Arabidopsis thaliana: one gene and its partner. The protein of the gene in region 1 interacts with the protein of each later gene in a pairwise test. Each region holds a gene or a part of one and is shown in the gene's direction. Other genes may lie near its edges. The genes, in order: ARF10 and IAA32.

Region 1 (5,641 bases):
AAAACCCATGTAAAGCTGTTTTGTGACTAATCTGTTTTGCGAATCTACTTTTAAAAAAACATATTTTTCACAATCAAACACAAATGCAAAATTAGTTTTTTTGTTCTTTTTTCGGAACGACTTAAAGTTTTAAACTGGAAGCAGAAAAATTGACGTTATGCCTCACCTAAGAACAAAACTTAGGCCTTAGATGGAAATCTTTTTAATTTGGACTTTAAGAGTTATTATTCTTCGATGGTAGAAGTTTTTGGTTGAGTTATATAATTAATTTCTAATATTCTAATGAAGTTAGTAAGCTATACTTCCTTATATTACTTTTGTTTGAAGCAAAAAAAACACAAATTTGTTTTTATTATTCAACTAAAATAGACAACGTACGAGGAAAATCTAGTTTTCAAAATATAAAGAAACAGATTTTCTAGATTTTATGAAACTAATTTCTAAAGATGAGACACAAATTTTGAATTATTTCTAACTATACAGAAGGATAAATACAACAAAAACACTTACCAATCAACGTTTAAAATTGTTATGAGTAAATATAATTTGATGGTAAAATAGTTGCAGAGAAAAAAGGACCAATATACGGATGAGTTGGGTATGTCGTGTCAGGTTATAATTGGATAATATTGATCCGACAAAACAATCGACGAGTACAAAACTTCAACGAACTCACTCACACTCCAATCTCCACAATCCCTTTTTAACAGCCGCGTTTTCATCTCTCGGGTCAACCCCCTTCTCCTACTCCCACGTACGTTTTATCCCCACTTTTATGACGTCATTTTACACAACTCATAATTATTCTTTTTTTCCTTCCTAAATAATTATTTATCCGTAATTCTATTTTTTTTTTTCATCAAACATTAGCTTTGTTATTGACGAGCGGTGACATAGTCACGATGAAGAAGATCAGTAATTACATGTGGAACGAAAGCATAAAAATAAAAGAGGTTGTTCAAAGGAATATGTTGTTTTGCTAAAGTATCTGCCACCATATTCGAGCATCTCCGTAATTCTTTCAAAGTTGTGGATCATAATCCATTTTCTTTAGTTTCCTTTTTTCATTAATTGATTTTGAAATTAAAAATCTTTCTAGAAGAAATTTTTATTTTTAAAAAGTTTGACTCCAGAATTTAACTTTAAATCTAAATGAACACTTTATGAAGAAGAAAACCAATAGTCAACTAATGAATATTTTTATTTTATTTATACTTTTGTGTGAAAATTATCAAAAGAAAATTTATTGTGAAATGAGGTGAAATGAGGGAATAATATGCAACTATTTATTTTTCATTTAAATAAAAAGAAACATTTGCATGGGTTAAAAATATCATAGTTTTTACCCCAGTGTAGTACAAAAAAGGACTGTTTATTTGGCATCTAATTTCAACATCATATAATTTACCATGGGTTTAACCTATTTCTTGTTTTACCACAATCGTGTAATGGAACCCATCTTTCACTAACGGGCAAAAAAAAGAGTCAAAGTGAAAAGCAGAAAGTAAAAAAAAAAAGATAAAAAAGATTTAACCATGGTTAGGTTTGTATCTGGTCAAGCATGGTTTCTGATTTTTCGAGTAAAAAATCAAAAATTTGTTGGTACATGTCAAATTATCGCGGCTCGTGATACGATAAATTGCTAATTTTATTATTATTAGTGAAGCAACAAATGAAACAAACAAGTTAGTTGCAGTTTTTTTTAATCAAACAAAAAAACAAAATTTATTTATCTTGAAAACAATTTATTATATATTATTTATATTAAAAAAATGAAAAATAAAAAGAGTTATAAAGTTTGTGTTTGAGATAATCTCTCTGGTTTGTTTGGTTCTTGTTTCTGTATACATCATTACTAAAGAGAAAAACAAGATGTTTATTTATTACGATGGTCTTGTCCGTACCTGATTATAGCATCTCTCTCTATCTCTCTCTTCTTCTTCTACGATCTGATCAGCCATTAAAGCTTTTTCCCCCTTCACTATTATACCTCTTTTGAAGTGAAACAAAATCATAAAAGTCGAAACTTTACTGTTTCCTCTGCAAATTTAAACTCTAATCTCTCTCTCTCTCTCTATCTCTTTCACTTCGCTTTCTCTATTTCCCCTGAAACCGTTCTTGTCTCTCTCTCTCTCTCTCTCTCTCTTCTTCTCTGCTCAAGACAAGAACTTGATGTTCATGTCTTGAAACTTAACAAAGTATTGATCTTTCCTTTTAAGTAAAGAATTTGGGGGTTACACAACTTCGTCTAGATGGAGCAAGAGAAAAGCTTGGATCCACAACTATGGCATGCTTGTGCAGGATCAATGGTTCAAATCCCTTCACTGAATTCAACGGTTTTTTACTTCGCTCAAGGCCACACAGAGCACGCTCACGCGCCTCCTGATTTTCACGCGCCGCGCGTTCCACCTCTTATCCTCTGTCGTGTCGTCTCCGTGAAGTTCCTCGCCGACGCTGAAACAGACGAAGTTTTTGCTAAAATTACGCTTTTGCCACTTCCGGGAAACGACTTGGATCTAGAAAACGACGCCGTTTTGGGTCTAACTCCTCCTTCTTCTGACGGTAACGGTAACGGTAAAGAGAAACCGGCGTCTTTCGCTAAAACGTTAACGCAGTCTGACGCTAATAACGGCGGTGGTTTCTCCGTTCCACGTTATTGCGCCGAGACGATTTTCCCGCGGCTTGATTACTCGGCGGAGCCACCGGTTCAAACCGTGATTGCTAAAGACATCCACGGCGAGACTTGGAAATTCCGGCATATTTACAGAGGAACACCTCGCCGTCATCTCCTAACCACCGGTTGGAGCACTTTCGTTAACCAGAAGAAACTAATCGCCGGAGACTCAATCGTCTTCCTCCGTTCTGAATCCGGTGACCTCTGCGTCGGAATCCGCCGCGCTAAACGCGGCGGTCTCGGATCTAACGCAGGATCCGACAATCCTTACCCTGGATTCTCCGGTTTCCTCCGTGACGACGAGTCAACAACAACAACATCGAAGCTAATGATGATGAAACGCAACGGAAACAACGACGGAAACGCCGCGGCTACAGGGAGGGTTAGAGTAGAAGCAGTAGCGGAAGCGGTGGCGCGTGCAGCGTGTGGACAAGCGTTTGAGGTTGTTTATTATCCACGCGCTAGTACACCGGAGTTTTGCGTAAAAGCAGCTGATGTTAGATCAGCAATGAGGATAAGATGGTGTAGTGGTATGCGTTTTAAAATGGCGTTTGAAACAGAGGATTCTTCTAGAATCAGTTGGTTTATGGGTACTGTCTCCGCCGTTCAAGTCGCTGATCCAATTCGTTGGCCTAATTCACCATGGCGTCTCCTTCAGGTTAGTTAGTTACTCAAAGTCTCTTCCTTTTAACAGAATCCATGTTTGTTTGTTAATGTTACGGTTATATTGGTTGTTATAGGTAGCTTGGGACGAACCGGATTTGTTACAAAACGTTAAGCGGGTTAGTCCGTGGTTAGTCGAATTGGTATCGAACATGCCTACAATACATTTATCTCCATTCTCTCCGAGGAAGAAGATTAGGATTCCGCAGCCATTTGAGTTTCCATTCCACGGTACTAAATTCCCGATTTTCTCCCCGGGATTCGCCAACAATGGCGGTGGCGAGTCCATGTGTTATCTGTCAAACGACAACAATAATGCTCCTGCAGGAATACAGGGAGCCAGGCAAGCTCAACAACTCTTCGGATCACCATCTCCGTCTTTGTTGTCTGATCTCAATCTTAGTAGTTACACCGGTAACAACAAGTTACATTCTCCGGCGATGTTTCTATCGAGTTTCAACCCGAGGCATCATCATTATCAGGCTAGGGATAGTGAGAATAGTAATAACATTTCGTGTTCTTTAACTATGGGGAATCCTGCTATGGTTCAGGATAAGAAGAAGTCTGTTGGTTCGGTTAAGACTCATCAGTTCGTGTTGTTCGGTCAACCGATTTTAACCGAACAGCAAGTTATGAACCGAAAACGGTTTTTGGAAGAAGAGGCGGAAGCGGAGGAGGAGAAAGGTTTAGTGGCTCGTGGGTTAACATGGAATTATAGTTTGCAAGGACTTGAGACGGGTCATTGTAAAGTTTTCATGGAATCTGAGGATGTTGGACGCACACTCGATCTCTCGGTTATTGGCTCGTACCAAGAATTGTACCGGAAATTGGCTGAGATGTTTCATATAGAAGAGAGGTCGGATTTGTTGACTCATGTTGTGTACCGGGATGCAAATGGTGTTATCAAACGTATTGGAGACGAACCTTTCAGGTAAAAATCTCAAAAGAATTCTTTCAATTAACCGTTTGTTTGCGATTATCGTCATTTGATTGATTAACCGGTTTAAAAATGCAGTGATTTCATGAAAGCAACTAAACGGCTAACAATCAAGATGGATATTGGTGGCGACAACGTGAGAAAGTAAGTCTATCTCAAGCTCACATTTCGGGTTTGATTATATACCGATTGGAATACCGAGTTTAGTTTGCTTTTTTCGGGTTTGCATAGGACGTGGATAACCGGAATCAGGACTGGTGAAAATGGTATAGACGCTTCTACGAAGACTGGTCCGCTCAGCATCTTCGCTTGAACTTGAAGCATATTGAGGAATAAGCAGTGGCCTTTGTTTTGAACCTAATTTTATTTCTGTCTTTAATTCTCTTTTTTCCCTATTTTAAATCCTTTTTTTGCTGGTCTTTTGTGTGTAACAAACCATTCCCAAGTGTTACCAAAAGTACTCTAATTGGTATTTGAATTTATTTGTTTTGGTTGCAAGTTGTATATGATAATCAAAGAACCTGCCATATCACTTGGTAATACCTAGCAAAAGCTAAATTTGAAGAAGAGACTATTATGAGTAAAATGTGTGTATTATGGTTCACTTCTACGAATAGTATATAAAAATTGCTTACATATAATTTCACATTTTGGGTGTTGAACTATGAACTAAGTAACAAAAAGCCTATATCATTCAATTCTCTTTAATGGAAACAAATTTTCCTATTAAATTTGTTTTTGTAGCTTGTTAGCTAACTTTTTTGTAAGATAAAAGTGGAAATTATTTTGTCTTGTTAGCTAACTTTTTTTTTTGTGCTAGCTACTGTTAGCTAAATTATTGTTTCAAAAGCTTCCCTAAACTGTTGGTTATTTTTATATTATTGTTTTACATATTTCTTGTAAGAGAATATTCACCAATAAATTTCACTCACCGATACTTTAATGGAATTTTCCTGCAAGAAAATAAATAAATATTAATTGTCCATCGGATCTACATGAATTTCATAATTTGGTCTCCTCCTTCACTGCCTCCATATTTAATTAGTTCAATCAATAGCAGAGGAAGATCTATTAAATATTTGGTTTAAGATACCTTCATTTGTACTTAAAGTTAGTTGCTTTGAAAATTAACCACATACTATTTTATTCACACACACGTACGTTTATACAACTTTCTGCTGAGAACAAGAAATTGAATCTTTAAAAATCGACAGAAACAGAAAATGATTATAATATCTACAATGTTTCATGGGATATGTTTTACTTTTACTCACAGGTTACTTGGAATCTATTTACTTATGTATTAATCTATATATATAAATTGTTATCGAATCTCTATCATAAGTTCATACATATTACCAAATCTT
Region 2 (4,796 bases), about 12 Mb from region 1:
GTAAGGACTTTGCCAGATCAGAGAAATCTGGGAATTGAAGAACAGTTCGCACGATTCAACGTCGGGAACAAGCATCAGCTACATGACGACGGATTTGCTGCGATCTCTTCACCACCGCCGATGCCTGTCACAATCGCCCTTCCTGCTGCGCCTGTGACTGCAGCCACCGTCTCTAATGAGTTCCAGGCCAGGGTTTACTCAGATGACGAGAGATCCGATCACGGCGTGCAGGCTGGATACAGGAAGCCTCCGACTCCGCGATCGCAGCCGCAGAATCTACCGCCTCAGCAGGCTCATCAGCTGAAATCAAATAGCGGTGGTGGACACGAGCTGCCATCACCCAATTCCGTTTCCAGGTACTCTTTCTTCTTATATTGGAACCCTCATGAGCCTTAATTTGATGCTATAGAAGAACTAAGATTGGTCAGAACTCTGATTGTGTGTTTGCTATATAATGAATGCCTCAGTGATAGCAGTATGAGCAACCCAATGTTTCACCAAAGACCATCTGTCTATCAAGAACCAATTGCTCAGATACCTTCTGGCTCTACCGTTGTTACTGGTATGATCAATCCCTCAGATCCAAGCACACTTTTGTCACAGCATCAGAATCAGGACCCAGCCTATATCCTTCACCCCCAGTTTGAGCAACAATCTGCACAATCTCAGCCACAGCAGCAGTTCATACACACTGCTGCTCCTCCTCAATACATTCATCACCATCCGTCTAGCGGCCTTCCTGTCCCGACTTACATCCAGGTTTACCCTTCGCAACAGCCTCAACAGTCCTTCCATCAACACGCAGGTCGACTGGATCAGCAGCCTTATCCTGTTTATTATGTCACTGCTCCTGTCCCACCTAGGCCCTACAGTATGCCTGTGCCACAATCTCCAAGTGTGAGCGATGCTGCAGGGTCTATCCCCTCTAACCATCCCAACTCTACCATGATGCCTCCACCTCCTAACAACCACATGAGAAGTGTTAGCAGTGGCAAACCTGAGATGGGACAGGCTGGGGTTTACACAACAGCCCCAGGTGTGGGCGGTGCTCAGATGGTTCACCAGATTCCCACAAACCAGCAGCAATTCATGGGGTATTCGCAGATCCGTCACCCTCCTCAGTCTGGTTCAGCTGGGAATCCAAACTATGGATATGAATATGTCGACAATGCTCATACACAGATATACTACACTCAACCTATGGGACATGCACAGTACCAGACAATGACTGGGCCTCCACCTGCCATGGTGATGCCTGATGGTTCTGCTGCTGCTAAGCTTCCAGCTGAGAACATGACTCAACAGATCCGGAGTTCACAGCCATTGTGACACACACAAGGAACACATGAAGATGAACCACAAAATTTTGGAGGAAGAAAACCCCGGGTTGGTTTTTAAACGTATAAATATATAACTTTTACTTCTTTTTTCTTCTCTTCTTTTACAAGTTGCTGCATCAAAAAAAGAGTCTGGTGTCATGTTAAGTTTGGTATTATGGGTTGTGTTTAAAAGTGTTGTGTGAGTAAATTAAAAAAACAAATAAATAGTGCTTCTTGGTGGGATTTTACATTATATAGTTGCAATTGATACATGTAGTGCTTTACCATTTTCCTGGATCTTATATCATATTATTATCATTCATTTCATTTTGTAAATGTATCACTTTTTTGATCATCATCTCTCTATCTTGTTTTTTCAAGAGACTTTGAAGGCTATAATATTGTTCAGAAAGATTCTGAAATGTTATGTATAACATTTAATATTTGGAAGAATGTATGTCTGGCTTCTTGCTATCCATGGGAGCATAGGTACAGATATTAAAACATGTGTGTGGTCTTGCAAAAGTACACACAAACCCTACAACTTCTAAGAGACAAGGTGTGGGTGAAAAAGGTAGTGACAAAATCGATCTGTCTTGCAATTTAGCAACACAACTATCTCTTTTGAAAGAGATAGGCATTTGTATCTTTACCTAAACACCAAACCCAGTCCTTTTTATCTCTCTCTCTATACATGACTCAAAGATATTTTACTCTTGCACTACACTATTCTCTCATAAGCAACACAGAGCCTCACTTTGAATCGAGTTGTCAATAGTCCCAGATAATATTTCTGCAGTGTTCACAGAGTTGAGATGTGACTTTGTGCATCAGAAGCATTGGCAGACCTGGTTGGATTACAAGATCTGAACCAAATCTCTCTCTGTGGTCAGCTCCCCATCCCTTGCTTCAAACCAACTGGATCTTAATGGGTTTTTCTTGTCTTATGTCTCTTTCATGTCTGCAATTCTGTCTTTTTTTCTTTAACTCTTCTGACACTCTTTTAGCATCAGCTCATACTATAAATCTTTAGAAGTGAGCTCTCTTTTTCTCATCTCACTTTCCCTTCTCTGCATCTTTAGAAATAAAAAAGCATCAATGGACCCAAACACACCTGCAGACTTCTTCAAAGGTTCTTCCAAGTTTCATACATATTACTCACAGACCAAAAAGGGTGGTGGGGTAATCGATCTAGGCCTCAGCCTTAGGACCATACAACATGAAACTTACCTCCCACCGGCGCGAAGTGAGTTTTTTTTTTTTGCTGAATAGCCGTGCTTTCACCTCATCATTAGTTAGTTTTCTTAATCCTCAACTTGCTACCTTCAATATCTATATGTGAATCAAAGTGATAGGTCTCGACGGGTATGGAGAGCTCATAGACTGGTCGCAGCCCAGCTATAACAGCATTACACAGTTGAAGAGTGAGGACACTGGACACCAAAGACTTGCCCAAGGATATTACAATAATGAAGGAGAGAGCAGAGGAAAATATGCTTACGTAAAGGTAAATCTGGATGGCCTAGTGGTAGGGCGCAAGGTTTGCCTTGTTGATCAAGGAGCTTACGCAACTCTTGCTCTTCAGCTCAATGATATGTTTGGTAAGCCGTGTTCTGACCCCCAAGCTTCCAGCTACAAGTATGTTTCAGAAGGTTTTGCCACATTAATTCGAATCTGCAGGGATGCAGACCGTGTCGGGATTGAGGTTGTTCCAGACTGAGTCTGAGTTCTCTTTGGTCTACAGAGACAGAGAAGGCATTTGGAGGAATGTTGGGGATGTTCCATGGAAGTAAGCTCTTACATTTTCTCTATACAAAAACTAAGCATTTTAAGTTAACCACTTTGTAATTTGTCTGAAACCTGTAGGGAGTTTGTCGAAAGCGTGGATCGGATGCGAATCGCAAGAAGAAACGATGCTCTTCTTCCCTTTTAAGCTTTTAAGTCCAAGCTTCTTCTGGGGCGTTCACTGATTATCTAAGATCCAAATTAGCTCACTTGTGGTTCTATTGTTCAATATCTGATGTAATGGAAGCTTTAAGCTATAAATACGATTATGAAGAGAGGGACATCTTAATAACCAACCACCAACAAGACTGGGACAAATAAAAGAACAAAATAAAACAAAACAAACGGTAACCACATTAGTGTCATCAGGCTTATGCTTCAAAATACATTGCAGCTTCAAATTTCAAAACAAGCTTTATGTGCAATCTCTAGATGTCTCAATCGCCGGCCACGGGTAATCTGTCGAGCGTATCAGAAACGTGCCTCATGGTAGGCCTTTTCTCTGGACTGCTATTCACGCAACTGATTGCAATCTTAAGAACAGCAACAATCTCGTCTTCCGTCTCTGCCTCAGGAGCCAAACAAGGATCAAGAACATCACACAATGGTTTCTTCTCCTCAATGCATACCTGTACCCACCGCACTAGATCCATTTCCGATGTCCCCACCTCCACTGCGGGAGACCTACCCGCTATCAATTCCAGTAAAATGATCCCATAAGAGTAAACATCCCACTTCTGTGAAGGTTTTACCATCTTGAGAGTCTCAGGTGCTTGATAGTAGGATCCAGAAGAAGAGTGAGCAGTGAACTCCGAAGATACGCTCTTGTGATGGTGTTGTTGCCTCTCTTGCGGCTGTTGATCCGTTTGGATGATTCTGTTAGACTGTATGGTCGGAGAAGATCCTCCAGCGATGTTAGCTAACCGTGCTAGTCCAAAATCTGAGATCTTAGGTTCCATGTCCTGTCCAATGAGAATGTTGCTTGGCTTGAGATCTCCATGGACGTATTTCTTGGGACTAAACTCATGCAGATAAACAAGCCCTGTAGCAATCCCTTTCATTATCCTCAACCGTTCAGACCATGTCAACGGAGCGATGGTCATCATCCCCGGCTTTCCTGCACATACACACACACACATTTACGATGATGTAACTGAATAATGCATCTTGAAATGAGAAAAGAGTGACTCACCGTGGAGGGCGGTTGCGAGGTTACCGTTGGAAACATAGTCGTAGATGAGAAGCTTTTCATCGACAGACCAATAATAAGCTCGAAGACTAGCAATGTTAGGATGTTTTAGTTTCCCTATGGCTTCAACTTCTGTCTGAAACTCCTTGAATCTCTGAGACCCTCCTTCACCCAATCTCCGTACGGCCAGTGTGAGCCCGTTCTCTAGAACCACTTTGTAGACAATTCCGATTCCGCTCTTCCCCAGAACGAAAGCTGACGCCTTTAGCAGCTCCTCCAGGTTAAACGCAACCTGAGCGTCGAGGGGAACAATGTCGCAATGCTCCACGTTTTCAGATGGCGTTTCGGATTCGTCTTTACGGAAACACAGACACTCAGAAGCCCTTTTCTTGGATTCTTTCTCGACTCCGAATTGGTTCTCGCGGTTACAAGCGCAGAACTTTGAGTAGCAGTAAGTGAAAAGCAAACCCACAAGGCAGATACCAAACACGTCGCAGAGAACA

The links.
Region 2: the proteins of ARF10 (region 1) and IAA32 interact in a two-hybrid assay, tested with the Arabidopsis thaliana proteins (2 studies listed by BioGRID).

Annotation. Positions count from the first base shown.
Region 1 is NC_003071.7:12,112,079-12,117,719, forward strand, and holds ARF10 (auxin response factor 10), read left to right. Parts: upstream 1-1,810; 5' UTR 1,811-2,252; coding exon 2,253-3,332; intron 3,333-3,414; coding exon 3,415-4,268; intron 4,269-4,352; coding exon 4,353-4,418; coding exon of another isoform or gene 4,419-4,422; exon of another isoform or gene 4,423-4,505; coding exon 4,506-4,587; 3' UTR 4,588-4,864; downstream 4,865-5,641. UniProt on the Arabidopsis thaliana protein: Auxin response factors (ARFs) are transcriptional factors that bind specifically to the DNA sequence 5'-TGTCTC-3' found in the auxin-responsive promoter elements (AuxREs). Could act as transcriptional activator or repressor.
Region 2 is NC_003071.7:115,968-120,763, forward strand, and holds IAA32 (indole-3-acetic acid inducible 32), read left to right. Parts: upstream 1-2,050; 5' UTR 2,051-2,207; exon of another isoform or gene 2,208-2,401; 5' UTR 2,402-2,417; coding exon 2,418-2,565; intron 2,566-2,668; coding exon 2,669-2,920; intron 2,921-2,999; coding exon 3,000-3,108; intron 3,109-3,185; coding exon 3,186-3,252; 3' UTR 3,253-3,541; downstream 3,542-4,796. Other genes in the region: PDE331 (Octicosapeptide/Phox/Bem1p family protein), read left to right, coding at 1-356, 468-1,329; AT2G01210 (Leucine-rich repeat protein kinase family protein), read right to left, coding at 3,542-4,221, 4,297-4,796. UniProt on the Arabidopsis thaliana protein: Aux/IAA proteins are short-lived transcriptional factors that function as repressors of early auxin response genes at low auxin concentrations.